2 linked regions of the Arabidopsis thaliana genome follow. The protein of the gene in region 1 interacts with the protein of each later gene in a biochemical or structural test. Each region holds a gene or a part of one and is shown on either strand. Other genes may lie near its edges. The genes, in order: SIGE and ANK6.

Region 1 (15,460 bases):
TTGTTATAAGTACATGCATATATATATGTCTTAACGTTTTTGAACATTTCTTTTCAAGGTACCTTTAAAACTCCGCAAAATATTTTTGAAAGGGATTGATGAAGGAGAACATATAAAAGCCATGCCAACAAAGAAGATGACAGCTACTTTGAGCGAGAAGAAAGGAGTGATTTTATTGGGAGATGCATTCAACATGCGTCATCCAGCAATCGCATCTGGAATGATGGTTTTATTATCTGACATTCTCATTCTACGCCGTCTTCTCCAGCCATTAAGCAACCTTGGCAATGCGCAAAAAATCTCACAAGTTATCAAGTCCTTTTATGATATCCGCAAGGTGAGCATATATCTAAAACATGAAAATTTGATCAAAATTGCAACCTCAAAATTTTAAAAAGAATACATGGTTTTTTTTTTGGTGAAGCCAATGTCAGCGACAGTTAACACGTTAGGAAATGCATTCTCTCAAGTGCTAGTTGCATCGACGGACGAAGCAAAAGAGGCAATGAGACAAGGTTGCTATGATTACCTCTCTAGTGGTGGGTTTCGCACGTCAGGGATGATGGCTTTGCTAGGCGGCATGAACCCTCGTCCGATCTCTCTCATCTATCATCTATGTGCTATCACTCTATCCTCCATTGGCCATCTACTCTCTCCATTTCCCTCTCCCCTTCGCATTTGGCATAGCCTTCGACTTTTTGGTGTAAGTCACTAATTCTCTCCCTCCTTATATCAAATATTTTCTTTAGAATTGTTTTTCATTTTTGTTAATACTCTTTTTATCTTACCACTAATATTTGACAATATTATTATTATATTTGGATATTTGTTTTCCTTGAATTAAATTGTATGTTTTATTTGAATTACCAGTTGGCTATGAAAATGTTGGTTCCCCATCTCAAGGCTGAAGGAGTTAGCCAAATGTTGTTTCCAGTCAACGCCGCCGCGTATAGCAAAAGCTATATGGCTGCAACGGCTCTCTAAAACACTGGTGCTTTAAACTGCAAAATATAACACATATATAAATCACGAATCTTTGTGATTCTGCATATATTGTGTTCTACAATTATTCTCATATAAATGAAAATTGTTCTACGTAAAAGTAAAAAGAAGGAATTGTAATACTAATAAAACGAGTTTTTAATTCTGTTGAATGCTTGTGTATATTGGTGACCTCTGGTTTTCTTGCACAGTATATCTTTATTCTTATGTATACTAAAATCGAAGTTATAAGAATGAATTTACGAAAGAAAAAAACAGTCTAATGATATTTTAAACTTCTTATATATCTTTAAATTTTAAAATTTTAAGATTTTAAGAAAAACAAGTTTTCAAAGAAATATATCTATAAATTGTGGCAAAACTAATGAGATGTTATGCTATCAACTACTATAATGCAACCATAATATTTCACAACATATTTTTCGTTATTAAATATAATCTTTACTTTTAAACACAGTAAGTTACTTTTTATAAGCAAATATATATTATAAATAATTTAAAATAATTTAAACTCGACATAGTTGGAATAATGTCATCTAGTATTTGCAACGTGCAAACATATTAGGAGAAATATAATGTTTATAAAAATAAATTTAATCTTATTTTACTACATCATGTTCTAGTTACTTTTATTGTTTTGATATCTAGAATTCAAATTTCAATTTTAGTTTCAGTATTAATTTCATTTTTATTTCTAAAATAGATAACCACTGATGAAAATCTATTGCTATTAATTTAATTTTTATTTCTAAAATAGATAACTACTGATGAAAATTTGTTGCTATCGATATAACATCTTAGCGCAGTCGTTCCAATAGATGATGGAGTCTGTGGTGAGGTTTTTATCAAAAAAAAAAAGTCTGTGGTGAGGTTTTTGTTTTCGTGTTCATGAAAAGCAGCCACAAAAGTGATAGTCTCGTCCCTCTCTATACACTTAATTCATTGGTCTTTTAAGGTCATGCAAACATAGACCATACACTTTACCATTCAGCTTTGTGGATGATGTGATATTAGATTAAGAAGTATGATGTACCTATCGGAAGAAACTATTACAAAAGTTTTTCAACCACAATAAATTTTAAAGCTAATTAATTTTAATAAATTGATGAAATATCGAAAAGAAATTAGTCGAAGAAACTGATTTACATTGACAACATCTTAATGCAGACGGTCCCTATAGTTGACGAAATATGTGGTGTCGTGTTCATACATTTATTGTTAGAAACTCTCGTCTCCATACATTTATATATAGCAAATTATAGAAAAGATGGCTTTCCCATCTAGATTTTGTTCGTAATTTTCGCTCCAACTCATACATGTTCACACTCTCCAAGTCTCCATAACTTCTGGTAAATATATGCTACAGTTTTAAGATATTTAAAAGAGATGAAAACAAAAATAGAGAAATCTACTCATTACCTCTAGATTAGACGACCGTTCAATTTTTTTTTTAAATTAGGTTTTACAAAAATTGAGAGAAATGAAACATGTTTGACATCATTCACTGGCCTTCAAATATGTCTTTTTCCATATTTAGTTCTTAATTGTGTATTAAAATATGGAAACTGGAGTATACGGTTTGATTTGGTTATCTCTGACATTTTCCCCTTTTTCTAGCTATGATATTTGATCATGTTCGTTTTATTTATCATACTACTCTATCACGTTTATCCGTTTTATAAATTTTCTGTGATATGATTAATTAATATATAGTCAACAGTACATATATTATATGTCCGGGCGGCATAAAAATATTATCTATTATTTAAATATTTGATTATTAAGTATTTTCCTTGCTTGTTTAGCTAATATACCTTGATTACATTTTCCAAATTAAGCCCATACTTTTCATTATTAATTATAATTGACTGTCCAATCCAAATAAAATGAGTTACAAACATTTTTTTTCTTTCTTTTTACTGGACAAAAAGAGTTACAAGCATACATGTAACATAGAAACGTTTCGGAAACAGAAATTCTCAGAAACACGATGGAAATTTACGAAAACGTGTTTCCTAAAATTTTGTATTTGAAAATACGATGGAAACTGATTTCCGATTTGAAAATGCGAAAAATCTTATTTTTTTCTTATTTTCAAAACTTAATAAACAAATAGTTTAGAAATATTCAGATTTAACTAATTTTGGGAGATTCGAGTTTTAAGATCTTTTTCCCGACAAACCAGATTTGAGATGTTTTATATGATTTTTGATGGATTAAATGAAAATGATGGTCTAAATATTTGATATTGGGCCTTTTAATCTTTATATTTTAGAACATTAGTTAAACTATTTGATATTTTTTTTTGTATAAAGTATATATATGTGTGTATATGTTTCCGAAACGTTTCTATTCCCTAATTTTAGAAAAAAAAAAAATGTTTCACGTTTCTGAAATGTTTCGCATCCGTAATTCTGTTTCTGTTTCCATGAAACATAGGTTTCTACTATAAACTAAACTAGATAAATATATGAGATAGAATTTAAAATATACTCTCTTTGTTTTGTTTAGTCTGATTTTTTAAGAAAAATACACATATTAAGAAAACGTATTAAAGTTGATTTTAAATATATTATTTTTTGTGTTTTATAATTTTCTATAACTTTAAACTAATGATATTCAATAAATTTTTATTAAATATAACTTGAAGATTAGCCCGCTTTCTCCAATCTAGATGATTTTGGTTTGATTTGGGTCTTTTTCCCCCTTTCTTCTCGCTTTTGTTTTTTTAATTTCTCATTTATGTAATGTTAAGTTGGACTGTTTACTCCATTCTTCTAAATTTTTACTTTAATATTGTTTTTGTAAATAATATCCTCTCCTAATAGGATAATTAATTATGAAGTTACTTTTTTTATTAATGTGTGGTTAACAATAACAACAACAAAAAATAAAAAAGTTTATCAATGTTTTGTTGACATACTAAGGAGAACTCCTTGATTGATTAAAAAAATAAAAGTTTACAAGCATAAAATTACTGTGTCCACTACCAATTAAACGAGATATATATATATATATGTTCTTGAATTCAATGCGAGAAATAAGTAAACCGGTCTCTATGAAATTTGAAAGTTGAAACCCTCTAAACATTTCAAGAAAATTAGCCAATCATTAAGAAATTTCATTAATTTGATCAATTATGCGCAATTCGTCTTGAAATCTAAGTCAATTATTCCTCGAGAAAATATATGACTGCATGACATACTGTAAAGTTTACAACTTTCTGAGACCTGTATTTTTGATAAACACTTATGTTAGGAGTTACGGAGAATTAAACTTCTTGTCTAACATTTGCTCCAAGCAACCCATAATAATTTCAATAATTTGATTGTTTTTGAGTAGAAAATTTTGTAACATCTTATTATCTAAAAACTTTGAAAGTTGATATAATTTTAAATTATAACATGTCCAGTTGTCCACAGTTCTATGTAATTCCACTTATGATGGAAAGAAAGAAAAAAAACTAAATTAGATGATCTGCAATGACGGAGACTATTCATTTATTAATAGTTTAACTTTGACACTTTCTTCCTACCAAAAGAAAAACAAAAATAGCTTTACACGTTCTTATTAATTAATTCAGATATGACAGATATGCTGTTGGATTCCAAAATTAAATTTCGTGATCGAGCTCTACAGAACGTGACAGAGATATTAGTATTTATTTATTTATTTTGTTAAACAGAAACGTTAGTTTTGAAATATATATTATTATTTTTTGCCTTTTTTAGTCCATTTAAAGTTCTGGAAGGAGCAAAATATAGTAGTAGCATACGAAGATTTCCACAAATAAAATTATGTAATCAAACATTCTGATTTTAAAAAATCGATATTAAAAACCTTAGCAAATTTAACAAACAAACTATTCCAGAAAAAAAGAAAACGTACCAAAAATAGAAGTTAAGTATTTAAAGTAGGATTTTGATTTTCAGAAAACTTGTAAATAGTTAAGTAATTTCATGAACATAAATAAACAAAAAAAAAGATAGGCAGTTAATATTTTCTACTAATCCAACACAACTCAGAATGAAACATAGAAAATTTAGATTTTGAGTTATTATTGAATAATATTTCTTATATTATCATATAATATAAAAGTACTATTATAGTCATTTCGTGAGTGGTTTCCAGAATGGGAAAACAGCATTTTTCAACTACAACTATTTGGTTGCCGTTTTTTTCAATCCAAACTATGATCTTTTGCGTTTATATATTAACCTGAACTCAAAAATAAATCAAATAACAAGTATGTATTTTATGAACTTTAGCCGATTTCAACATGTAGCTGAAACCATGTCATCCTTTATGTTTTAAGATTTACAAAATACACATAAAACCTGTGGAATATTTCTGATCCTTCATCATTAATAGATTGACAAAATAATGTTTTGGTACTATCTCCTTAAGAGTTGTGCTAGTCGATAAATGTCTATGCTCAAAATATATCATCCCTTATGCGATTCTCTGTTTGTGTGTCGCTTCCCATAAACGGATGCATGAGGCATCTCTTGTAGTCTTGTTCAATATATATATATATATATATATATATATATGTATGTATATATGTTTACCTTAGTTATATATATCCTTGAATAGTAAAATTATAAGAGACTATGCTGAGCAAATTAACACGTGTTATTTTTGTTTTGTCAACGAAGATAGAATAACTATAATGAGAAACCATATAGAATAAGTAATTATTGCTTTATTTAGATAGGTGGCTTATCAATATTTGATTGTGATGTGATCTCATGTCGGCCTATATAACTGACTCATTTGATTTGCCAAGCTGTTGAACTATAGTTTATTACATATTTTGGCTTGTTTGACATTGTGGGTTTCTCCTATATATTTAACGTTCACTCCAGGTACAAGGCATATATATTATTACTAAGCGGTAATGGCAATGACTTACGCGTGGTTATGGACGCTTCTCGCCTTTGTTCTGACATGGATGGTTTTTCACCTCATCAAGATGAAGAAGGCGGCAACCGGAGATTTAGAGGCCGAGGCAGAAGCAAGAAGAGATGGTGCAACGGATGTCATCATTGTTGGGGCGGGTGTTGCAGGCGCTTCTCTTGCTTATGCTTTAGCTAAGGTATATCTTTTGCATAAGTTGGTCGGTAAGAAATTAAGATCCGCTGAATTCAGTGGTCGCGCGGTAAAGATGATTAATTAGAGTTCAAATTTTGTCGATGTTCTGAATCCTACATAGCTGATTACACTAGAATTTTGGTAGTTTTTTTATGTGTTTTGCGTAGCTTCGTTAATCAAAGGCGATACTTCTTTTTGTGTTGCATTGGCTAATTAGTATGGTTCAGGGGGGTGTAATAATTATCAAACTTCAAATAGGTTGAATTATCTTAACCGTTGTAATGAGTTTAGAGATAGATCTTTAACCGTTATCAGATAGTCAATGAAAAAAGTTATGTCAATAAAAAAGTTATTTATCAAAACTAGTGCTCGATCTTCATTGGTACGAATATAATGAAATAAATTAAAGCAATGAACATGGTAAAAAGTGTTTCTTAAAAAATGTGGGTCCAACATTAAATTTATAAAAGAATTGGTAGCAGGCTGATTTTTTTTTTTTAAACATTAAAAATATAAAAAGTAGATAAAATGGAAAAAAAAATTTTTAAAAAAATATATGAAAAATAGATTTCAAGATGGGTTGTCAACACTTTATTTTTTTCTTCATCAAAAAAAAGGAAGAGAAAAATATGGATGCAAGCAAAAACAAAATCTGATAATTTGCATTATAAGTATTAGTTTTGACGATTATTTACAGAAATGTTGTTTTCTATATATTCCCTATTAGTTACTCAATATGTGAAATTAACTTGAATGCGGATGCAGGATGGACGACGAGTACATGTGATAGAGAGGGACTTAAAAGAGCCACAAAGATTCATGGGAGAGCTGATGCAAGCGGGAGGTCGCTTCATGTTAGCCCAGCTTGGCCTCGAAGGTCTCTCTCTTCACTTCATCTTTAAATTTATTGCTACACATTGCTTGATCTTTTTGCCACAAGCACATATATGCATATAAACATACGTTTTGCGATTTTGGGTTTTTATATGTACAAGATTGTTTGGAGGACATAGACGCACAAGAAGCGAAGTCCTTGGCAATATACAAGGATGGAAAACACGCGACATTGCCTTTTCCAGATGACAAGAGTTTTCCTCATGAGCCAGTAGGTAGACTCTTACGTAATGGTCGGCTGGTACAACGTTTACGCCAAAAAGCAGCTTCTCTTAGCAAGTACGTACATATTTTACTTCTTTTCTTTCGTAATACTTTTTATAACTTATGAGTAAAATAATCTTACGACTCTTATATACTAGATTTCTATTTCATCTTCTTAATATAAATGCAATGAACCTTGGCAGTGTTCAATTAGAAGAAGGAACAGTGAAGTCTTTAATTGAAGAAGAAGGAGTGGTCAAAGGAGTGACATACAAAAATAGCGCAGGCGAAGAAATAACGGCCTTTGCACCTCTTACTGTCGTATGCGATGGTTGTTATTCGAACCTTCGTCGGTCACTCGTGGATAATACTGTGAGTACATAGTTATCTTTTAAACATTGTCGACTTTTATTCTTCGCTATAAACTATAAAAAAAAGATTGGTCTCGACTTAACTACTGAGTTTAAGGATTATAATCATATATTTATTTACACAGGAGGAAGTCCTCTCGTACATGGTGGGTTACGTCACGAAGAATAGCCGACTTGAAGATCCCCATAGTCTACATTTGATATTTTCTAAACCTTTGGTTTGTGTTATATATCAAATAACCAGTGATGAAGTTCGTTGTGTTGCCGAAGTTCCCGCTGATAGTATTCCTTCTATATCGAATGGTGAAATGTCTACCTTCCTCAAGAAATCAATGGCTCCTCAGGTACGTAGCAAACTATTGATAGTCTAAGTAAAAGTTTTAAGGTGTGTTTAAACATTTTCATGGTGTTGAAATGGTATTATTTTGATTTCAAGTGGTATTACTATGCTCAAATGACTTTGTTTATATCATTGATCCCTTTGGTTTTGTAGATACCTGAAACTGGAAATCTTCGGGAGATATTTTTGAAAGGCATAGAGGAAGGATTACCAGAGATAAAATCAACAGCGACGAAAAGTATGTCATCGAGATTGTGTGATAAAAGAGGAGTGATTGTGTTGGGAGATGCATTCAATATGCGTCATCCTATAATCGCGTCAGGAATGATGGTTGCACTCTCGGACATTTGCATTCTACGCAATCTTCTCAAACCATTGCCTAACCTCAGCAATACTAAGAAAGTCTCTGATCTTGTCAAGTCCTTTTACATCATCCGCAAGGTGAGTTATGGATTACTTAGTTTTTTACTAGGGGTTTTGGTTTAATTAAATGGAGTGACTCGGATATTTATGTATGCTAGAATGTCATATATACTATTATCAAGTTGTGTTGGACTAGTGGTATGACTCTTACTTTCTATTTGTATTGATTTTGGATGGCAAAAGCCAATGTCAGCGACCGTGAACACGCTCGCGAGTATCTTTTCACAAGTGCTTGTTGCTACAACAGACGAAGCAAGAGAGGGAATGCGACAAGGCTGCTTCAATTACCTAGCTCGTGGAGATTTTAAAACAAGGGGATTGATGACTATTCTCGGAGGCATGAACCCTCACCCTCTTACTCTAGTCCTTCATCTTGTAGCCATCACCCTTACGTCCATGGGCCACTTGCTCTCTCCGTTTCCTTCGCCTCGTCGCTTTTGGCATAGCCTCAGAATTCTTGCCGTAAGCCTTTCTATTTTCTTGGCTATCTAACACAATTTCTACCTTCTTAACGGTTATAAACTCTTTTTTTGTTGTTAAATTATAAAAACATGTTTCTTATGATGACTTTTACTATGTGAATCAACAGTGGGCTTTGCAAATGTTGGGTGCACATTTAGTGGATGAAGGATTCAAGGAAATGTTGATTCCAACAAACGCAGCTGCTTATCGAAGGAACTATATCGCCACAACCACTGTTTGATCAATCCATAACACGAAGACTGTTTTATTCGGAGATGAAAAATAACAACTCAAACAGTTAACTTTCTACAACCAAATAAATAATTGTGTGTATATGAAGTTGAGCCTATGGTTAAGCTCTACTGAATTGTGTTGAAAACAAACATGGATATGTTACATGCTAATTTGTTATATTCTATTTATTGATTCTTGATTTTCTGCTTATGAAATTTTCTAATGTTTAGTCCAGTTTCTCTGCTGATTTTAGTGTCGCACAATTTTACATTTCTCAGTTTCTGACTACAACCAAATTGTTAATCTTATTTGCCCTAGGCAGGACCATCTCTGCTAAACCAATGTGAAACAGGGAATTTAACCAAGTTTCTCTAATCCGGTTCAATGCATGGTACGTGCATGGCTGATCTGCATCTCAATTTCTAGCCTTCTATACCATGCATCCATTTTACTCTTATCTTCTATGATCATCTCAAGTTCAATCTCTATCGTCAAATAGAAATAGGTATAAAGACCCTATTTCATTATTCATAAAGAAGATCAATATTCTTCTAGTGTACAAATCTTCTTCTAAAGTCTTGATGTATTGTAACCTATTTCAATATTCATAAAGACTGACCAAAAAGGAAACGAATCACATAACATATGTTGAACGGCAAAATATGTGGTCTCCGCAGCTAAAAACAAATATGGAGTACAAAAGAACATTTAAACATGACTAATCTTCCTCAGATCTGTCCAACGAGAACATCCTTGTATGGTGTCGGAGATGATACCACCACGGTCTCTGTAGCTCCCTCTCCGGCTTTGGAGGTTGTGTGTGCCCGGGGTTTGGCTCTACTAGAAGCTTCGTGATCAGCTTCCATTTTCCTTATTCTTTCTTCTTCAGCAACAAGAGGGAGATATCCTTCTCTCCCTTCAAGAAGTCGGTCTTGAGCTCCACCCCGTAGTTTCTCGAGGCGGAGCCCAGAGATCTGGACGAAGTTAAAAACCTTAACAACGTTCAGCAATCCTCCCACAAACAAACATATAGCCCCGGAAATCCCAAGCCAAATCCATCTTTCCCCCTGAAAATTCATTATTTACCGTAAGAAGCGGATTTTGAAAACCACTTTTTATGCGATAAATTTGGTTTCCAAGTACTTACAAGAAGCTTCAATCCACTACGAGATGACCCGGATATGTCGAGGCTATTGAGAACTGCGGAAACCAAGAATAGAAGGGATCCAACCAAGAAAGGAATGTAAACACACTGCTGTAGAATTTGAACATGACTATCCGCTCTCTCGTAGATTTGGCATGAGTTGTGAATCGATCCTATCAACCAAAGTAACGGACCCGCTATCAGCAAGTTTAATGCATGATGCTCTCTTCCACTGTATCCACGTTTTGTCTCAGCCTAAATACTCCAGAAAAAAAATACAGCGGAATGTGACTACATATAATTAGTCAGACACACATCAAAAGTTGTTATTCACAACATTTTACTCTATTACTTATGTTTACATGGACCACAAGTCCACAACTAACATTATGGACAATATCATATATTCATATTAATATGCCACAAGTACTTAGCTTTATCTTCAAACACTTGCTATAATTGTTATAAATTAATGTGATATCACCGAGACATAACCAATTTAGTTCTCTTATCTCTCATAGACTAATACGTAAAGCATATATGTGAAATTTGATGAACCAGGAAACTTTGTTACAACAATAAAAGTGTTATAATGTCAACAAAAAAAAAAAGTGTTATACCTGATGGAAGACGAAAAAGATTCCCAAGAAAAACACTACCGAACCCGCTATCTGAACCAGAGGGACTGCAAATTCCACTAGCCCCAGTTGCAAATCATACTCCATTAACCTTAACCTTAAATCACATAAACAATAAGCTTATTACTAAAACGTTTTTCTTAATCCCCCACATTGGTGAATATAAAGTTATATATATCACACGTAGACACATTTGAGCTTACAAATTATGGTAAATTTAACTATTAAGATTACTAATAATAATGTTACTAAATTAAGCAAGCTTCTTGAGATCATTTACCGGTAATCGATTCCAGCTAGATGAGCCACAAGATCATGAACATTCACGGCGGTTATAAGAACGAGAGCTAAGAGAATAAGGACGAGGCCGGATCTTGGTTCCCATGAGAATCCTGTCGCTGTGAAACCGCCGATGAGCACCACGGTTGCAAACAAGTATAGACCTGCGTTGATGTACTCGGCTCTGCTCCTCCCAAGCCGAGGGCCGTACGTTCTAATCTCACGCGCCGTCGCGAGTTTCACCATTTTATTGTAAGATTATGCGTTTAGAGAGAGACTGAGAGAGAGAGAGAGATCTGGGAGAGACTCAGAGAGAAAGAGAGAGCTTTACGTGGCTTTGTGCATGGCGTTCTTCGATTAGGAAAGTGGAACGTGGCAGATTGTGGAAAATAGCTGACTTTCGTACCAGACGTTGTCGTTTTATCCTCCAGATACTATTTTGAATTTGGGCTTCTTGTTGGGCCAATCGTAGGCAATCTTACAGGACTCAAAAGTAAAAAGTAAAAAAGTTTAAGATGTTAATGGATCATGACCATAAATTATGTTTAAATAAAATATAAATCTAAACATAATTTATGGTTATTCAAGTCTGATTTAAACTATTTATTAAGATCTTGTGTTTACTAAATTTTGACATCTGCAAATTACTATGTTTTAAATACTTAAAAATATAGATTTCATATATTTAAAAATTTGATGTGATCTAAAATAAATTAATAACGCCATTAACATTTCTTCAACTATGTAACTCCGACTCTTGCGATATACCAAAAGCCGGAAAAACGCAAATAGAAATAAAAATTATCTAAACAATTGGTTTAGGATTACAATATTTGACTTTCAAAAGCTCAAAAAATATGTTAATCGGTTTATAATAGGCTACGTAAACGCTTCTCGAGCCACCACTTTATTTGTTTTGGGTCCGACTGTTGCTGAGAAGACCATCCACGTGTATAATTCCTGATCCACAACCACAAGCCTTGACCCTTTTGAAATATCTTCTCCTCCACTATAAATTGGCCACGTCGTCTCTCTCTCGCCATCTCCGCTTGTGCATTCTCGCAACCGTTGGTTTTTGTTTAAAGCCTTGTTGGCCGTTGGATCTTCCTGAGATTCCAAACTTATAGTTTAGTTTATTTACATCTTTTACTCTTATCTTTGAGTTATTTGCACATATAGCTAAATACATTTAGATTTACTCTTACATTTACGTAAACTTTCTTTAAAAACGAATTAAACCATGATTGAAAAAAGACTAAAGTAAATTTTGACAAAAAATGTAATCTAATCAATAAATACGATAGATGTGTTGATTAATTTTAAATTTTCAATTATAAAATAATTTAGACAATAAAAGTTGACAAAAAATCAAGTAAATATATAGTTCACACTAAATGTTGGAACATATATTCGATTTTTAATAACATCATGCAACCCAATAATAAAAAATGAACATGTTTCCCAAAAGTATTCAAGCAGTAGTGGTAAAACCTATAGTTAATAACTTAAACTCAAAAAAAATGAATTTAATAATGTAATCTCTCAAGCTCGGATGCTTTACATGGTGTGATGGTAGCCAACAAGTTAACACACCCATCAAATTAGTTAGACCTTACATGTTGATCATTTATTAGTTAGTGTCGTTTAAGTATAAAACTCTTTTAAAAAAATAGTAATAAAATGAAAAGTGTCTTTAATTTTAGATTTGTATTTTTTTAGAAACATTAAAACCATTCACATCAGTAAATTTTATAAAGTATCTTTAAATATAATTTAATATTAATGCTGACATGTAAAATGTCTCAAATAAGCAAAATATGTCTTTCAAAATAGATAGTTTCTCTTATTCACTCTGTTTTTTCTTAACTTTTATTATATCTAATGTTAAAAATTCTTATTTTTTGTGATACGAATGTTTTAAAGACACACATGACAAAAGAGTGTCTTCAATTTTAATACTAGTTAATGTTTAAAAAACGCTTATAGAGTTGTGGGATGAGGATGCACTTATGCTAGGTACAGATCAATAACAAGGAAGAGGGTAGTTCGGAAACGTATTGTCTAGCTAGAAAAGGGGTTTAAATTGATTAATAAATTCTTTTGGGGGTTTATAAACAGATTCCAGGAAAATACGGCGTCACATTGTTATTAATCTGTGGACACCATAATTTACGTAGTTCATTGCGACACATATTTTCGTATTCCACTCCAATTTTTATTTTTCTCTACTTCTATTTAAAATTCGTGAACCAGAATCTAAAATCGAACGAAGATTCTCTTGCTCGAACAAAAAAATTCTCTCCGCGATACTTACAAAGGTACGCCAAAAGCGATTTCGAACATTAACTTCGTCTTGATTAGATCTTTCTGTGTAAAATTTCATTCAATTTATGATCAGTTGTTGCTCACGAAAGATTTCGACTTTGCATTTGAATTCTCTGTTATTCAAAGGAATCTGAATTTTGGGTTTTCCCGATCGCTCTTAAATTTTTCAGTTTCATGTTGAAATGTTGAATCTTTGATTGAAAGTTTCAATCTTTCATTTTGGTTCCTCTCAGTGTTCATATTAGAGTAAGTTAGTTATATCTGCTAAAGTTAGATTCAGATCAGTGTTCTGTAGTAAAATTGATGCAAGTTATTGTCAACAACCTGAGACATTTTTTATACTTATATGAGATATGTTTCTGCTTGCAGCACAAGTGAGCTAGCTTTGAGAAAGATTCAATTTTTGAGCCTTAAGATTGTGATGGGAGTTGTGTCTATTTCAAGTTCAGCTGCAAGATCTCCACTCGGGTTGGGCAACGATCTTTTGACACATCGGTCTTCACTTAAAAAGCCATCCATTGTTGCTTTTAAAGCCGATGATTCCAGCAATTCAGCTTTGATCATTCCTCCTCGTGAGCAAGTTTTGATTCCTGCTGAAAAGCATAATGAGAAGAAGAGAGAAGTAACGAGGAGAAAGCCTTGTAAAACCCCGAAAAAACCGCTTTCCTTGGAACATAATTCGGCTCCTTCGTGTTCGTTAGGAGTAGATTACAATGAAGCTGCTGCAAGACTTGAAAGCATATACAAGCTTAGTCCTGCAACAACCACATTAGTCGAGGATGATGTTGAAGATGGCGGCTCTAAAGCCAAAGTTTCACGGAGGAGAAAAAGGAAAGAAAGTGGTGAGGAGAAGAAAGTGGTTGTGAGGAATAATGTGAAGAAGGAAAAACGTATGAGTCTTGATAAACGGATTGCTTTGAAGAGAAACGTTCAAGAGAAACCAGTCGTTGCTTCTGTTGATAAGAAAGTAACAAAGAGGCAGCAAGAAGAGGAGAAGATCGAGAGGCTTGTGCGGGACTATTCAGCTTCTAATGATATAGTGAGCTTGGACTGGAAAAAAATGAAGATACCTCCTGTTCTTTCTTCTACTGAACATGCTTGGTTGTTCAAGTTGATGCAACCTATGAAGGTATTCTTCTCTTTTCTTGAAATTAGTATGTATTCTATAGATAGATGATGATTCACTAGGAAGCTGGAATCGGATTTTCATTGCAATACATGCTCAAGTTGTTTGGGGCTTTAACATTGTAGGCTCTTCTTGAAGTGAAAGATGTATTGCAAAAGAGCTTGGGAAGAGAGCCTAGGGAAGCTGAAATAGCCGGGGAGATCAATATGACTGCGGGTGAAGTAAAAAAGAAAATCGAAATAGGTAGAGCTGCAAGAAACAAACTTATTAAGGTGAGTGTGTCAAAAGATTTGTACCATTACATTTGCTTATAAAGGCTATTTGTTATGGTGATAACTCTTTGAACTTATTGTGTGTGTTTTTTCCTTCTATGTTGCAGCACAATCTCCGGCTTGTCTTGTTTGTTATGAACAAATACTTTCATGAGTTTACCAACGGACCAAAATTCCAAGACCTTTGTCAAGCGGGTATGAGAGGGCTTATCACAGCAATTGACCGCTTTGAGCCGAAAAGGAAGTTTCGTCTTTCGACTTATGGTTTGTTTTGGATTAGACATGCCATCATACGGTCAATGACAACTTCAAACTTCACTCGTGTCCCATTTGGACTTGAATCGGTTTGTTACCTACCCTCTTTGGCTCTTTTTCAAAAATAGTTTGTTTTTGCAGAGATCTTACATATTTCCTCTTTGTTGAAACCATTCAGGTTAGAGTGGAGATATATAAAGCAAAGACTGAGCTATGGTTTGAGATGGGAAGACCTCCAACGGAGGACGAGGTAGTTGAGAGACTCAAGATAACACCTGAGAGATACCGTGAAGTATTGAGGGCTGCAAAACCGGTTTTGTCACTAAATTCAAAACATTCGGTTACTCAAGAAGAATTCATCAACGGAATCACAGATGTTGATGGTGTTGGAGCTAAT
Region 2 (15,460 bases), about 16 Mb from region 1:
GTGGTCGCCGTTTGCTTGGAAAGTAGATGAACAGAGGGTTTATATGTTCATTACACTCATTCCTCGTTTGTTTTATTCTCTATGAAGTTGTTCTTTAAAACTGGAAAGATTCTTATCATGTTAAATACATTATTGCTATCTGTGTTTGTATTTGATCTTGTGACAAAAAACCAAAAAACTTATTGATCAAACAGAAGCAACTTTGGTATCGTTTTTATCTGTATCATAAAGCTTTCTCAAGAAATTCTGATAATAGATGAAATTATGAGTTTTAATCTCAGATTTATAACCTAAAAATATCAGTGCTAGAATACGACATAAGAATACAGAAACTCCAGACAAGTTGGAACATATGTTATGCAACAACTGCACAATCATGTGAGATTATTCAAAAGAACAAAAAAACCAGGAACTCTTCATTCCCTTTAGTCTTCCTCAGCTACAATCCAAGGGATATATTCCACAATGTCCTCTTCTTCACTTGTATAATGTCTGAAGCCATAAAACACAAAGACTACTAATGAGAACTAGACAAAGCAATCTGACATAGTTGGAAAGAACTATGAATAGAGGAAATAATAATCTCATACAAACACCACTTGTTCCCGAATCATATTCTCAAGCCACAAACTCGACAATCAATGAATATAAAGTGGCTCCAACATGACCATTAAAAACAAATAGCTTTGGAGGATATTGTAATGACAAACATACATCTACTGAAGCTTGACTTCCATGATGTTCTTGGTCTTGGGAGGATATGCCAAGTAAACCTTGAGCACTCTCTCAGCAACAAAAAGCTGTTTTTTAGCTTCAGCATAAGCCTCAGTCACCTTCGATGGGTCAGTGAGATTCTTGTTCATGCGGAAGCCATCCAAGGTCCTTCGCTTACTGTACTCCCTAATGTTGTAATCAGGGAATTGACGTCCCGCTCGAAGCAAGGCACGACATAGGCTAAGAACTTCACTACTAGACACCATTGCAAGATTGGAAACTAACCCTTAATTATACAAAGCCTGGTTAACTGCAATCAGTATAAGAACACAAAGAAGCTGAGATTAGCAATGCCGAAAAGGAAGAGAAGTAGTCAAGATGATCAAGGGATAAAGCTATACACTTCGACATGTAACAAGAAGTTATATAGATAAGTGAAAAGTATTAAGGACCAGTACATCATTTATAGAGCAAAAGAACCTAGATTCAGTAACATTAGTATATAGATAAGTATTGATTTGAGTAGTGTATATAAGGTATGAGAACCAGTTGCTGCAACATTAGAAACTAGGCACTAGAGTTCATGAAAATACGCAAAAGAACCAATATTAACTAATCGCAAACGCTTAAAACAATCAAGAAGAAACCTTAAAAGGCCATAAACGCACTTAGTAATCCTAAACTTCAGTAAAATGGATGAAATTGCAGTCACAGCCAAAAGAGACAATACATCTGAATCATGAGAGGATCCGATAAGCATAGAATTTGACGATAACGAGCTCCAGATACATATACATACCGAATCAAATCGTCGGAGAGTATTAATTTCCCGAGCTCGCCGTTGAAGTTCTCCGTTCGAAGGTTTTGATAGCAGCAAGCTGGGTCGTTCGGGGGAATAAATAAACTTTTAGGTTTACCCAAAACTAAACCGGGAAAACTGATTTGGGAACCGGATCAATTTTAGATTGAGTAAGAAAAGAACCGGTTTTAGAATGGGCTAGACACAAAGGCCTGTTAAATTGGGCCAATATGTGATAAGCCAGCCTTTTTTAATGAAGGTGTATGAGCTGGCATATTCGACAAGAAATAGTAAACAAAACCGATATTTATCATTCTCTGTCACGCCTTCTTCCTTCTCTACACGAATTCGATTCTCTCTTATCTCGACGAGAAAACCCTACTGCGAAAAAACTCCGATCTCTCTGGCGAGAAGTAAATTTTTATCTCTGAGCTTGGTTTCACCATTTCTCTATCTCTATCTCCTCGCTGGGTTACGGTACGAGCCTCTCAAACTTTTCGATTCCTTGTGTTCATAAGTATGTGTGAAAATCCTTGCGTGTCGAGATTGATTTTTCTCTTTTTCGTTTCGGATTCATCGTTGGATTCTTATTTCGTCAATGTTTTTCTGTGATTTGTTCTGATTCATGTGTAATTTGTAGCTGACTTGATTGGTGATCGATGATTAAAATTTGTACTCGTTAGTTCCCCCTTGATTCGATTGATTTTGTCTCTGTGAGGGTATTTTTTCTGATTCTATTGTATTGTTTGTAGATTTGCCAATATTAGAGACTACAAGTGTCGTAATTGGATTCTGAATGAACTTTTGAAACTCTACACGAGCTGGATTGTTGTGTTATTTATATTACAGAGAAATTTATAGCATTTTTGTTGTGTTCATCTGGTTTTCACTAATTTGGTTTTCTTCTCCATCTTTTGTTGATAGGTTTGGTAAGGTCAGTGTTCTCTAAGGCTGAAATTTGGGGGTTTCTCAGTCTCGATGTGGTCGTGCTCCGTTAGGATTCTTCACAATCATTAGGGTTATATTTCTTACAAACTGATGCTCATTTTCTCTTCCCTGTCTATGGCTTTATCTGTGATCCTTCAAAAGCTTAGTGTCTTCGGCCCTGGTTTGAATCCTTCTTTCCCTTACTGCATCGCCAATCACTCCTTTGCCTCCCGTTAATTGAGTTGCTCTCTTTCAACTTAATTACATTAGTCTGCTTCCTTTGCTGTCTAGTCTGGATAGTGTTGCAAATCAAGTAGTATCTTCTTTAGACATTCTTGGCTGAGAGATTTACACTAAAAGCATAGAATAAGAAACCCCTGTTTGGTTAGTATCTACCCGAGTCTCGTAGTCCTACACAGATCCGGATCCTAGTTTCGAAGCTAGTTCTTGTTTAGCTGAAGCTCAGACCCAAAATGCTCCAAGAACCGTCGGCTGCATTCTCCCTCCGGCGTAACTCATTCAGACGCCGATCTCCCAGATCAAATGTCGATGACAGAGGCTGGAATCCGCTCCATATCAAAGCCAGAAAAGGCGATCTGAAATCTGTCAAGCAGCTTCTCGACCAAGGAATGGATGTGAATGCTCTAGCATGGGGACCCAAATCAAAAGGAGTGAGTGCACTTCACCTTGCAGCAGAGGGAGGTCACATTGAAGTCATGGATTTACTCCTAGAACGTGGGGCCAACATTGATGCTAAAACATGGGGCTCATGCGGGTGGACTCCTCTCCACGCTGCAGCCAAAGAGCGGAAGAGAGAAGCAGTGAAGTTTCTGGTGGAGAACGGCGCATTCTTGGCAGATGATATAACTGATACCAGGTTTAATCCGCCGGTGCATTACTGTCACGGCCTTGAATGGGCGTACGAGGAAATGAAGAAGCTTAACAGCGAGTCTTCTTCTTCATCTGGTGGAGACACATCTTCCAGTTCTGACAACTGAACTTCTTCTTGGTTGTTTCTCGGTGTGTTTTGTTTTGTTTTCTAGTTGAGACTACTTATCAGAACTATTATGGTTGGTGTTTGATCTTATGGGCTATGTGAAACATTGAAACTGCGGATACATTCATGTAATCTTCAGTGTGTTATTTTGCAACTCCAGTTTGATATCCTAGCCGAATTTGATTTGTTTAACCGGTTCTGGATCAACCAAAAATATGAGATAATCGGTTTTGGTCTCTTATGAATCATTAAGTCTAAAAATTAATGCAGGTAATTGACATAGTGTGATTTAACATAATTGACATGGATATGTATATAGCTAGATTGCGAGGATGAAGCAAAGTTTTGCTCTTAATTGAGTTAGCACCATATGTTTCTAATCATTGTCATTTGTGTCTTAGGACATGTTTAACTAATTAAGGTAAGGAATGCAATAATTTTACACAAATGACAATTATTTGGTCGATACCCATTAACAAGATTGGTTCTATCTCTTCAATGAATGATTTGGTCGATACCCATTAACCAAAAAGAAAACATCCGGATCATTACCAGACCCGTCGGTGAGATAGCGGGTTTGAAATACACGGTATTCGGTTTACGAATCTCAGGAGGAGGAAGAGAAAATAAAAATGAGTTTTTTAATTTCGCTCTCTTCTTAGATCCCGTTTGTTCTCTTTCTCACTTTGGCTGTTTAAGCAAAAACCATGGCTTCTCGCTGTGAGCTACTTCTGATCTGCGTCTTCTCTCTCTTAATTGCTTTTGCTCACTCCAAGACATTGAAGCGAGATGGTAAGTTTTTACTTTAATCACCCTCTGGTTTTGTGTTTATGATCGATCCTCCATTGATTGAATTTGTATAGCTCTTTAACAGATTTGGTAGATACCCATTATCCAGATTCGTTCTATCTCTTATCAATTTCCATGATTTAGCACGCAAGTTCGATCCTTTTTCTTTCATCTATTTCTAATCTGAGCTGAGCTGAGCTCAAATTGAGAAATATTAATTATGTGTGAACAATGATTGGATCTGATACTATTGGTCTCAAGAAGTTTGTTATATCTCTGCATCATGGTAGTTGGTTACTACTGTATCTTTTATAATCAGCTTTCCTCAAAGTTAATCTCTTGTGGACAGTGAAAGCTTTGAATGAAATCAAAGCCTCTTTGGGATGGAGAGTGGTGTATTCATGGGTTGGTGACGATCCTTGTGGAGATGGAGACCTTCCACCTTGGTCTGGTGTCACGTGTTCTACACAAGGAGACTATAGAGTTGTCACAGAATTGTAAGTTCTGGTTTCTTCTCACTTTAGTGTTTTCTTTTGTAGCAACCTGATTTGCTTCACTGAATTTGATTTGCAGAGAAGTTTATGCGGTTTCGATTGTTGGACCTTTCCCCATTGCAGTAACAAACCTTCTGGATTTGACTAGACTGTAAGTTACTTTCTAAACCTTTTTATTTGTGACATTAGGTAGATTGATGCAAGAACTCTTTGAACAGATATTTCCAACCTAGTTTGTGAAACGAGATCCCCAATAATTCTTTAGAGTTATGCTGTTTTAAGATGGTTAAATTGAAACTGGTATTGGTTTCTTTGATATTTCAGGGATCTACATAACAACAAGTTGACTGGTCCAATCCCTCCACAAATTGGACGACTGAAACGGCTGAAAGTACTGTATGTTCCTTGTGCTCTCACAACGATATGAATCATTGATTTACTTCCTTTCAAAGTTTGTCTCAATAAGTTGTTCTGAGACCAAACTCAGGATCCAATTCTCTTCAGAGTGAACTTAGCACTTACGTGACAGAAGTCTGTTATTTGTGCCATCATAACATGTCAAGTTTCCAAATACTTCACCTAAACATTTACTCTGTTGTTATCACTAGAAACCTGAGGTGGAATAAACTACAAGATGTGATCCCTCCCGAGATTGGGGAGCTGAAGAGACTAACCCATTTGTGAGTACCTTAATGTTTCTTTTTACCTTCTGATGATCGTCCATTTTTATCCACATGAAATCATGATATTTTTTCTTCTTTTCTTTTTATGTTTAAGGTACTTGAGCTTCAATAGCTTCAAGGGAGAAATTCCCAAGGAACTAGCTGCTCTTCCCGAGCTTCGGTATCTATACCTTCAAGAAAACCGTCTCATTGGTAGAATTCCTGCCGAACTGGGGACTCTGCAAAACCTTCGCCACCTGTAAACACCAAATGCCGTTTTCTACATATAGTTTGGGTACCCTCCAATGATTTATTTACTGAGATCATGTTTGGTTTGTGTCCCATTATTTTTCAGAGATGTTGGTAACAACCATTTGGTGGGAACTATACGGGAGCTCATCCGTTTTGATGGAAGTTTCCCAGCTCTTCGCAACTTGTAAGCATCCCTTCAGAAATTTCCATTTGCTTCTCTCTTCCGTTTGATATATTCTTTTATGTACTACGTTTTCTCTTTTTAAAATCTCGATTCATTAGGTACTTGAATAATAACTATTTGAGTGGAGGGATTCCTGCTCAGCTGTCAAATCTTACAAACTTAGAGATTGTGTAAGCAGTCTACACTCTCCATCTCTCTGCAATAAACTATATCACTAGATCTCTGATGTCTGTTTGATTGGTTTTGCAGTTACCTGTCTTACAACAAATTTATTGGAAACATTCCTTTTGCCATTGCTCATATTCCTAAACTGACATACCTGTAAGTCTTTGTGCTAGATCGCTGATCTTTCTCTTTGTCTTTGATTTGCTTACTATCTAAAAGAAAATATGCATTCTAATGGGATCATGATGTTGATGAAACCAGGTACCTTGATCACAACCAATTTACCGGGAGAATCCCAGACGCATTCTACAAGCATCCATTCCTCAAAGAAATGTGAGTTCTCACCCAATTTTTGAAGAGTTCATCAAAGCTTTGACTCAGACAAAATAGCAAACCCATCGAGTATAAGAATTTGAACAATGTGAACTGTTTTGTGTGAAATCCATCTGGATGAGTTTATGATGACTGGTTTTTCAGAAAAGTTGAATGTTTTCTTTCTTCATTCTCCACTCTGACGATAAGGAGTTCTGTTTCTATTTTGCAGGTACATTGAAGGCAACATGTTCAAGTCAGGCGTGAACCCAATTGGTACCCACAAAGTTTTAGAAGTTTCTGATGCCGATTTTGCCGTGTGACCGGATAGAAGATTCCAGGAAGGTTCTCGAGAAAACGTCTCAGAACCACCTAGAGATTGTTCCACTTTAGCCCTCTTCACTATTATTATTTTTTGTATGGTCTGTGGATTTGCAAATGAAAGAAAGCATAAGACTACAAGTTTTTATCTTCATATTGTATAGTTAGACACATTCCACTAATCTATATTTCTCCTTAATCAAATGATTATATATATTTAGATTGGAATAAACCACTTCCAGTATACAATAGTATGTGTTACATCGATCATATATACAATTGCCAAGAAATTTACAGTAGTTCTTCAATGTTTGATTTTCACCAGTTACCATCCTCTTCAAGAACAAGCAGGAGCATCAAAGGTAGGCAACACAATGAAAGAGATCGACAGCGGATTGATATAAACCGGAGATTTCACACCATGACGGACCGGCTCAAGCTTTGGGATATCTCCGGTGGCTGTCGGTACCAAAGGTTTACCATTCAAGAGCATTATCTTGCTACGCAAGTCACCGTCTTTGGGACTCAAGTGATACTCTTCTCTGTTCAAATATCCGTCCGAAGCTTTGTTTCCAACCCAAGAAACCTTGCTCTTGATTGTTTCCAAGAACGATTTCCTCTTCATCGATTCTGCTTGCAAAACCACCTTCACGCCATTGCTGACTGCGACTGTAAACGTCGTGTGCTTACTCAGATTGATCAGAAGAATCGTTATACCCGCCTAAGATGATAGATTTCGCAGTTACAAACCGAAACTAGAGGATAGTTTAGCGACAGAAAGATAGAGATATATATACACTCACTCTTCTTTTGGAGCAATGAACGTAAGCTCGTAGATACTCCGAGGCAGTCGTCTGAACGCCGAGAATGCCTTTACCCATCAAACGATGCCAAAGAAGCGCGCTGGTCAGATTGTTCGAGATCAAGAAGTTTATGTTATGAACTCGCCTACAGTAATCATGCTGGTTTAGGATTTACAGATTATACTTTATGAACTTGCCTGTAGTAATCTGGATTTGGAACAAACGTTTCCTTTTCAAGCAGACCGTAGAAACCTCCGACCAAAGCTTGTCTGCAGTATACTTTGGTGTTATGCTTCGACGAAATACCGAGCTGATCTAAGTACCTTAAGAGAAGAGTTCATTTTGTCAATAATAGAAACCGAGTAAAGATAGAATGTGGAATTTGATTCTGTCTTACCAGAAACTGTTAATGAATGTCTCGGAAACCTGACGGCCACCACTGTTAAAGGCTCCACCAGCTTCTCCAACCCAAGCAGCAGCCCAAGGTCCATGTTCTTGAATTGTTTGGTTCACATTCGCGAATAATTCCGAAATTCCGCTCAAGTAATTTGGATCTAGTATCTTATTCACTAGCTTAGGATCATTCCCTGCAACACTAAATTCAACATTGTTTAGGAATGCTACAAAGAGAGTCTCTTATTGATTTATTTTTCATATGCAGCACCTGGACCAAGATTGTATATATGATGAGTCAGGACATCAAGAACACCAGGCCCAGAGAGCCGAAGAAGCTCCGAGTACCATTGTTCTTCAAAGAATCCACCTGGAGCTACAACCAAAGGCTTGGTTCTAGAATTCTTGTAAACGTTCTTGATTACATTTTTCAGTACAATCAAGTCTTTCCCATAAAGCTCTACACTCACGCTTGCCCAAATCCCGCTTCCACTAAGCTCATTACCTAGTCAAGAACAGAGCTCGTGTTATAAGGACCAACACTAATATATAAGAAACAACATGGGCCAATAAGAAACAACATAAGAAAAGAGAGATCTAGTTCTATATACCAAACTCCCACGAGTCTATAGCATAACCCTTTGAGACTGTGTAGTTCATGAAATCCTGAGTGTTGGTATGATCCCAATCACCTCCCCACGCAGTTCCGTTGAGTTTATTTCTCCCGTGCAGCGCGTTCAAACCGAAAGTCACAATAGCTCTGTAGAATTAGAGTTAAGTCAATGTGAATTATGCTCTGCATAAAACCATACTAAGGTTTTATACTTACCCCGTTGCGTTGAAGAAATGGTTAACTTCGTCCCAACGTTTCATATACAAACATCCTTCAGAGAATCCGAACAATCCGTCGTCAGTTTTCTTGAACTGAGTGCAAGGAGTCTTCAAGTCTCCAACGTCGTAGATCACTTGATCTTGCAAGGAACCACCTATTCTTATCCTCAACGTCCTAAAAGCTAACAACAATCAAAGTATTTCAGCAAAAGAAGTTTATGAGAAAATGAATATTTCGGTTTGTGATAGAGGTCACAAACCTTGAATAGCTTTAGCAAGAAGAGGAGAAGCTAAGTTCTGAGTCATTTTCAAAAGATTAAAAGAAAAGGAGAGTTTTTAAGGCATATTTAAGATGAAGTAAGTAAGAGTCAAATTAAGCTCAAAGTTGTTTTATATACCAAATTGATGAGAGATGCGTAACCCCAAGGACATTGATCATAGTTGCATTTTTCAGGTGGCCACCAATCAAGCGTTGCGCAGATAAAGTTCTCATCGGTCTCAGCGATTCGACGTGAGCCGTCTATAACCAAGGTGGTTCGTTCCATGTTGCTACCAAAAGTAACAGGAGGAAGTAGAAGCAGACAACTCAAGAACACAACAACGTTGAAGCCCATTTTGGTTTCTTTCGATTGGTTGATCTGTAAGAAAGAAAAGTGAACTTTTAGAGCGATCAAGAATTAGTAATCAGTTACAACCAAAAACATATCAAGAAGATGGAAAATATAATCCAAAAAAATTAGAAAAGAGGAATAATAGAACTGAAACCTGCTTATCTTAACAAGCAAATGATGATTACAGAGGAAAAACTTATTAAGAAAACTTGGAGGCTTGTTCAATGATATAAGAATTATATTTCTTGGAAAATTTATTTCGAATTTTGAGTTGAAAAGTAAACCATTAGTGTTTGAAAATTTGTGTATATAGAAATTTTACTTAATGTTGGAGGTGTATTTGTTAATGATAATAATTTTGTTCCTAATTTAATTAGATTAGTCAAATGTTGGTGTCAGAGAAGCATGGATAAGGGCATTAGTTGACTTTTTGGATGATTTAATCATTAATTTCTAATTTTAATCTTGTAACCTTCATAAGTCATAACTAAATATTTATAATTTATGTTTCTCGAAGAGATGATATGAAAATCTGATTGAGAGAGAAAGCAGAATGAAAAAAAACCTCAAGAACAGAAACTGACCTCAGAATCAAGGATCCATGGAGAGAAAAAGCCTAGACTGAAGTTAGAAATTGGGACTTTTGATTAGTTTGAACTGTGGTTGGATCTCAAAACAGAGCAGAGGTGCTTTTTGTTCTTGGAGTTGACAACACTTCATCAAAGTCTCTCTCTTTTAAGCATGCTTAATCTAATTAAACCGTTTACACCAAACCGAAACTGTACCAATTTTTTTGTTAATTGATATTCTATTGAAAACCATGAGAAAGCAAATGTTACAAAGGAGCCCAAACACACATTTAGGAGAATCAGTTTCTAATCTAAGGAGCCCAAACACACAGTTTGAATCTAATGAGCCCAAGTTCATTGGCCCATAAAGAATAAAATCAAGTAACCCATCTTGACATTGTATTATTGTGGGCTCTGTCTTCTCAATAAAACATTTTTTGTTTTTGTTTTGCCAAATTCCATATCTCAAAGATTTATTTTAGGCTAAATCATGATTATCTTTTTCGACGGCCACATTATCTATATTTAAAATCATTTTCTTGCGATATAACAATTCATATATTTTTTGTTCGTGGGTCAACACCTTGATCTTATCTTATTCTAAAGAAATTACGAAAAGAATCTAGAGATGTTCATTGGCAAGAATCATTCTTTAGAAAAAGTACCAAAAAGACTTAACTTAAGGTATCGGATCCCTTAAATGTCATACATATGAATATGATCTCACAAAGTAAAGTCAGTTTATGTAAAAAAAGAAAATAGTTACAAAACTAATAACTCTTTGTTTTTATGTTAAAGAAAAATTATGGATTTTGTGCTTTAGCCAAAATATCCTCCGAGCGATTGGAATTCCTTGTATGATAATATACTTTTGAGATTTAATATAGTGATCTAAGGAGATTATAGATTGAATTTGTCAAATTCATTTTTCGTGACCGATTATTCATGCATTTTTCATGATTTTGATATATAAGAGAGATTAATGAGATTTTTAAACAACACCGATTTTTTATTAAATGCATCCAAGTGTATCAGTTTTATATAAATGAATAAATAGATTATAAAATTAGGTAAAACATTAAATAACAAATCGAGCCAAAGTAAATTAAATAACAAAATTCTTTAATATAAAAATCAGAATCTCCCTCTCTCACAAGACTTCTGCACAAGAAGATTTCTTCCCTCCTCTGTGTATTTTTGCGTGTTCTTTTCCTAACTAATCAAATCTACCTTTCTTCTTTCTTCATATTTGTTTCCAACTAAAGATAATTTGGGAAAGCAATTTTCTGGTACACATATATACATTTTTCTCATATTTTACTGTTTTCTTTGTTTTTTCTCTCTTCTTATTCTGTGGAAATTCTCTGAGAGTTAGATTAGGCAGCAATCTAAAGGTATCTTTTTTCTTAATTCTTGATTTCTTTTTTGATATACGTTTTTGGTTATTTTTGTGTTTGTTTGAATTGTGAAACTGTTGGTAGGGTTTTAAGCGTGTGGAGTATTTATTGCGTTACTGTGTAGAAATTAGGTCATTGTCCTTCAATCTCGATCAGAAGTCAAATTTTTTATCTAAAAAAAGATCGGAGTTTTTTTCATTGTTTTGTAATACAAGTGATTAATTTTCGTAACGGATCATGATCAAAATTCAATTTTGTCGTTTAGGTATTAATGTCATTGATGATCAACGAGGAAATATACACATATTTGATCATGACTCTTAAAGTCAACATTTGTCCTTCTTTGAATGTATTGAGTCATCTTTGGTAGATTTTTGTCTAAAGATTTGTTCTTTATGATGTCAAATTCTAGAATCTGATTAGTGAATAGGTAATAAAAGACAAAGAATCAGTTTAGAATCCATTAAATTGTTCTAATATGCTCTGTTCATAAACGTCGAGATCTTTTTGGTAATGCACTCTGTTTCCTCTACAGGTTTATTTTGTCAATGGCTGAAGAGAATACTTCAGAGGTCAAAGATATTGAGAATTCTTCCGATACAAACCCTCCGAAGATGTCTGAAGAAGGCTCTTTGGAAACAGTACGTGTAAAGGATGTGGAAAATGTGGAAGATGTTATAGCTGTGGTAGCCAAGGATCAAGAAGAGATTATACCAGAGATTATTGAAGTGCCTAAGCCTCAAGGTGGGACTTTGAGACGCCATTCGACTGGAACGATAAGTAAACCGCAGGTTCAGTCCCGTTATCGTGGGAATCATCGTGTGGGTTCGACTCATGATTTATGTAAACATGGGAAGAAATGTGATCAAGATGATGCTGTGAAGCCGTGGAAGATTGCAAGGAGAAAGAGTGTTGAAGGTTCAGTTGTGATCAAAGTTGAGACACCAAGTTCGACAAGGAAGTCATTGGGGAGTGTGAGTAGACAGAGTCCAGGTATAACCAAACCGGATAGTTCTGTTTCTGCAAAGAGAGATGCCTTGGCTGTGAAGAAAAAACCATGTGCTTCTGTGAATTCAGAATCTAGCTCCAAAGAAGGTAGTGAGATAGCGAAATCTGTTGATGGTTTAAGCGTTAAAAGCAATGATAGAGCGCGGAAGAATAAAGAAACCGAGAGTGGTCTGAGTGGTTCAGCTGTTGTTAAGAAGGTTCCTGCCTTGAGAACTGATAAGTCAAGTACTTCTACGGGCGTTGGAAGTTCTAAGGTTTGTGCTCCAAAGAATCTGAAGAATGTGGAGAAGGCAAAGACGACTCAGACAATTAGCGGTGAAGATGTAAAAGAAAAGACTGTGTGTGTTGTTGAATCTAGCGTCAAAGGTGTTAAGAGTGAAAAGCAACCATCATCTGAGAAGAAAACCATGAAAAGTGGGAATAAAAGCTTGAGTACTACTCCTAAACGTGGTTCTAGTCCTACAAAACAGATTCCTGGTAAAATCAGTACCGGTTTGACTAAGAAGAAAGAAACTGGCTCTGCAGACGTTGTTGAAGCAAATCCAAAACCGGAGAAGAAGGTTAGGCCTAAGAAGACAGGAGTAAAGGTGAGTCTAGCTCAGCAGATGACTTTCAAGAAAGGAAAGGTTCTTGATCCTAAACCCGAGGATTCTTCTCCGAGATGGATCAAGTTCAAAAAGAGGGTGGTGCAGGAACTGAAAACGCAATCCGAAGGGAAGAAGAAGAATCTTAAAGATAGAAGATTGGGTGTTGAGACGAAAACAGATTCTTGTGAAGGAAGTAAACGTGAGAAAGTTGTTCTGAGGCATCGAAAAGTAGAAGGGAAGAAGAAAATGATAACATTGTTTAACAATGTGATTGAGGAGACAGTGAATAAGCTAACAAAGGTGAGGAAGCACAAAGTGAAAGCTCTTATTGGTGCTTTTGAAACTGTTATCTCTCTTCAGGACACTAATAAGACATCTCACAAACCTCAGAGCAAGGCCACAACATCTGCTTCTAAGGTTAGACCTTTGGTCTCCGAACAATGAAAGAAAGAAAAAAAGACAAAAGTTTATTTGTGCATATGATCTATTAACATTGAAGATTTTAAACTTCAAGAGCGACCAAGAGATAATTTTCTTGTTACTGTCCTCGAAATAGCAAAGGGTTTAGTAATGTACTTTGACAGTTACTGAATTCAGTTGTGAAGCTTTCAAGTTTTATCTGCAAGTCTTTTTCCATACTCAAAACAGTTTTTACAATCATGATACAACAATCTTTCAAGAACTATATATATGGATCAATAATACTAGGTCGCTAGACTAATCTCTTTTCTCATGATTCGAAGAACTTGAAGGCATGCCGATATTTACCTTTGTTGTTTGATCAGACTGTTGTCTATAGATAGCTGCTGCCATTTTATTGTAGAGATCCATATTCATTGTCTGCATCAGCATGGCCAATGGAAGTGAGCTCAAGATTTGTATATCTTTGAACACTTTTCTCGAAAACAGTTAAAAGCGGTCTTACCTGTGCGAAAAAGGCGCTGTATGGATCAGATAATGTGGCTGAAGAACCGTTGGTGCAGTCTCTGTTACCCATAGGAGGGACCATCATTGGTGGAGGAGGAGGAGGAGGAACTAAACCTCCATAACCATTTCCACCACCTCCCATTCCCATTCTTGCCATTGTTGCAAGCAACGACATCTGAAACTGTTGCTGCTGTTGTTGCTGCTGCTGCTGCTGTTGTTGTTGTTGTTGTTGGTGTTGGATGCTGAGAACTGACTGTGGTGGAGGTAGTTGCGGAATCATCATTTGTTGTGGCAAGTTGGCTCTTAGGCTCATGAACTGTACTTGTGCTTGTAGCTGTTTCAAGTGTTCGATAACATCATCCAAGATTGAGACTTTATCCGCCTGCAATATCCGAATAACGCGTTTAAACTGACCGATATCAATATAAACAAAGTTCTTAAACTTAAAAGTGGGTTCTTCTAGGATAGACATTTACCTTACTTGCAGTAGGAAGCAGCTTCTGAAGTGTTCTCATCCTCTGGTTTATCCTATCACGCCGTCTCTGCATCAAAACTCAGAGTCAGTAGTTTGGTAATCACGGAAAGAGAAAAGATGGATTAGTTTTTACCCTTTCGGACTCGTTGTGAATCGCTGCTGCTCGTCCCCGTCGTCCATTAGATCTACCTGCTTCTCCTCTTGTCTCTTGTTCATCTCCTTCAGTATCTTGAGTTTCCTATTAAAGTCCTCTTTTGGTTATTTCTCCAGTCATCTTTCAGGAAAAAAAGGAAGAGTAATTTTGTTAGTTGTTACCGATCCAGAGCGGAAATAGTCTCTGTCTCCGGTTCTAGCTGTCTTCAAGCTCCGACCGGATTCAAAAGACGCCCAAGACATATTGGTACCACTCGCACTTGCAGTGACGCTGTGGCCAACTCTATGGCTCTCCTCTTGAACAGCGAACCATCGGTCCATTTCTTGAGGATAACCGCGTTTTCTTGAACAAGATCCATCCTTGCTCTCATAATTGTGGTTTGGACCATTCGGACTCTGCAGCTGAAACTTGCTTGGCTGCTGTAGAGCCGCTTGATGAACCACAGACTCCAAAGTCTCACAACCGTTGAGACTTTGAGTCCAAATAGGGTTATTCGAGGTGGTTGGTTCTACTTCGTCGCCTAGACCATGAACGGTTAGTTGCCCATTTTCCCATGTGAGCTCTTTAACTCCATAATTCGACCTGAGTCACGAAAAAAAAGAAATTGGTTTTGTGTTAAGACTTAAGAGAGAGAGAGAGATAAACAAAAAAGGACAGAAGCGTAAGGTTTTGTCTCTTTTTGGTGTAAACAGAGAAGAGTTCTTTATCAGAAACAGAGAGAGATACATGTGTTACTTAGGCCGCACGTTTGCAGAGAATAAACTGACAATTAAGCTCTCTTTTTTTTTGTTCTCTCTATTATTGGACCTTCTCTCTTCTCTCTTTCTTCTTGCTTGAAATGTTGAGTTCTTCTTTCTTCTTTGTGTGTTCAAACTCTTGACAATCACAGCGACAACTCATGCGGTGTATCTGCCTTTGATCCATATTGAAAGTTATAATAAAGAGGCCTCTCTCTCTCTCTCTTCTTGTCTCCTCTTTCTCAAAAATGGTCCCTGCAAAACGTCAAATGGTTTTTATGTGGACGAAGCACATGTGTGGCAAAGGATTGTTTGTGTTTTGCCACTCAAGTCCAGAATCATCTCTCCTGCT

What was found.
Region 2: the proteins of SIGE (region 1) and ANK6 form a complex in vitro, tested with the Arabidopsis thaliana proteins (one study listed by BioGRID).

What each region holds. Positions count from the first base shown.
Region 1 is NC_003076.8:8,158,118-8,173,577, reverse strand, and holds the start of SIGE (sigma factor E), read left to right. Parts: upstream 1-13,234; 5' UTR 13,235-13,403; intron 13,404-13,414; exon of another isoform or gene 13,415-13,656; intron 13,657-13,779; 5' UTR 13,780-13,831; coding exon 13,832-14,539; intron 14,540-14,661; coding exon 14,662-14,808; intron 14,809-14,915; coding exon 14,916-15,152; intron 15,153-15,241; coding exon 15,242-15,460. Other genes in the region: SQP1 (FAD/NAD(P)-binding oxidoreductase family protein), read left to right, coding at 59-337, 425-703, 871-984; SQP2 (squalene monooxygenase 2), read left to right, coding at 5,903-6,100, 6,862-6,973, 7,092-7,269, 7,398-7,566, 7,691-7,909, 8,059-8,346, 8,512-8,790, 8,918-9,031; AT5G24130 (polypyrimidine tract-binding-like protein), read right to left, coding at 9,753-10,091, 10,172-10,423, 10,789-10,903, 11,087-11,331.
Region 2 is NC_003076.8:24,625,341-24,640,800, forward strand, and holds ANK6 (Ankyrin repeat family protein), read left to right. Parts: upstream 1-1,846; 5' UTR 1,847-1,990; intron 1,991-2,437; 5' UTR 2,438-2,913; coding exon 2,914-3,438; 3' UTR 3,439-3,628; downstream 3,629-15,460. Other genes in the region: SNAP33 (soluble N-ethylmaleimide-sensitive factor adaptor protein 33), read left to right, coding at 1-26; AT5G61220 (LYR family of Fe/S cluster biogenesis protein), read right to left, coding at 717-980; AT5G61240 (Leucine-rich repeat (LRR) family protein), read left to right, coding at 4,145-4,229, 4,576-4,723, 4,800-4,871, 5,045-5,120, 5,208-5,242, 5,329-5,400, 5,498-5,641, 5,738-5,818 and 4 more; GUS1 (glucuronidase 1), read right to left, coding at 6,954-7,337, 7,420-7,519, 7,617-7,742, 7,817-8,006, 8,084-8,317, 8,424-8,572, 8,642-8,825, 8,904-8,940 and 1 more; AT5G61260 (Plant calmodulin-binding protein-like protein), read left to right, coding at 11,769-13,259; PIF7 (phytochrome-interacting factor7), read right to left, coding at 13,533-13,655, 13,741-14,124, 14,219-14,284, 14,351-14,455, 14,533-14,953, 15,098-15,099. UniProt on the Arabidopsis thaliana protein: Promotes anthocyanin accumulation through interaction with PHYA, especially in response to far-red light, high light and sucrose treatment, probably by triggering A3G2XYLT/UF3GT expression.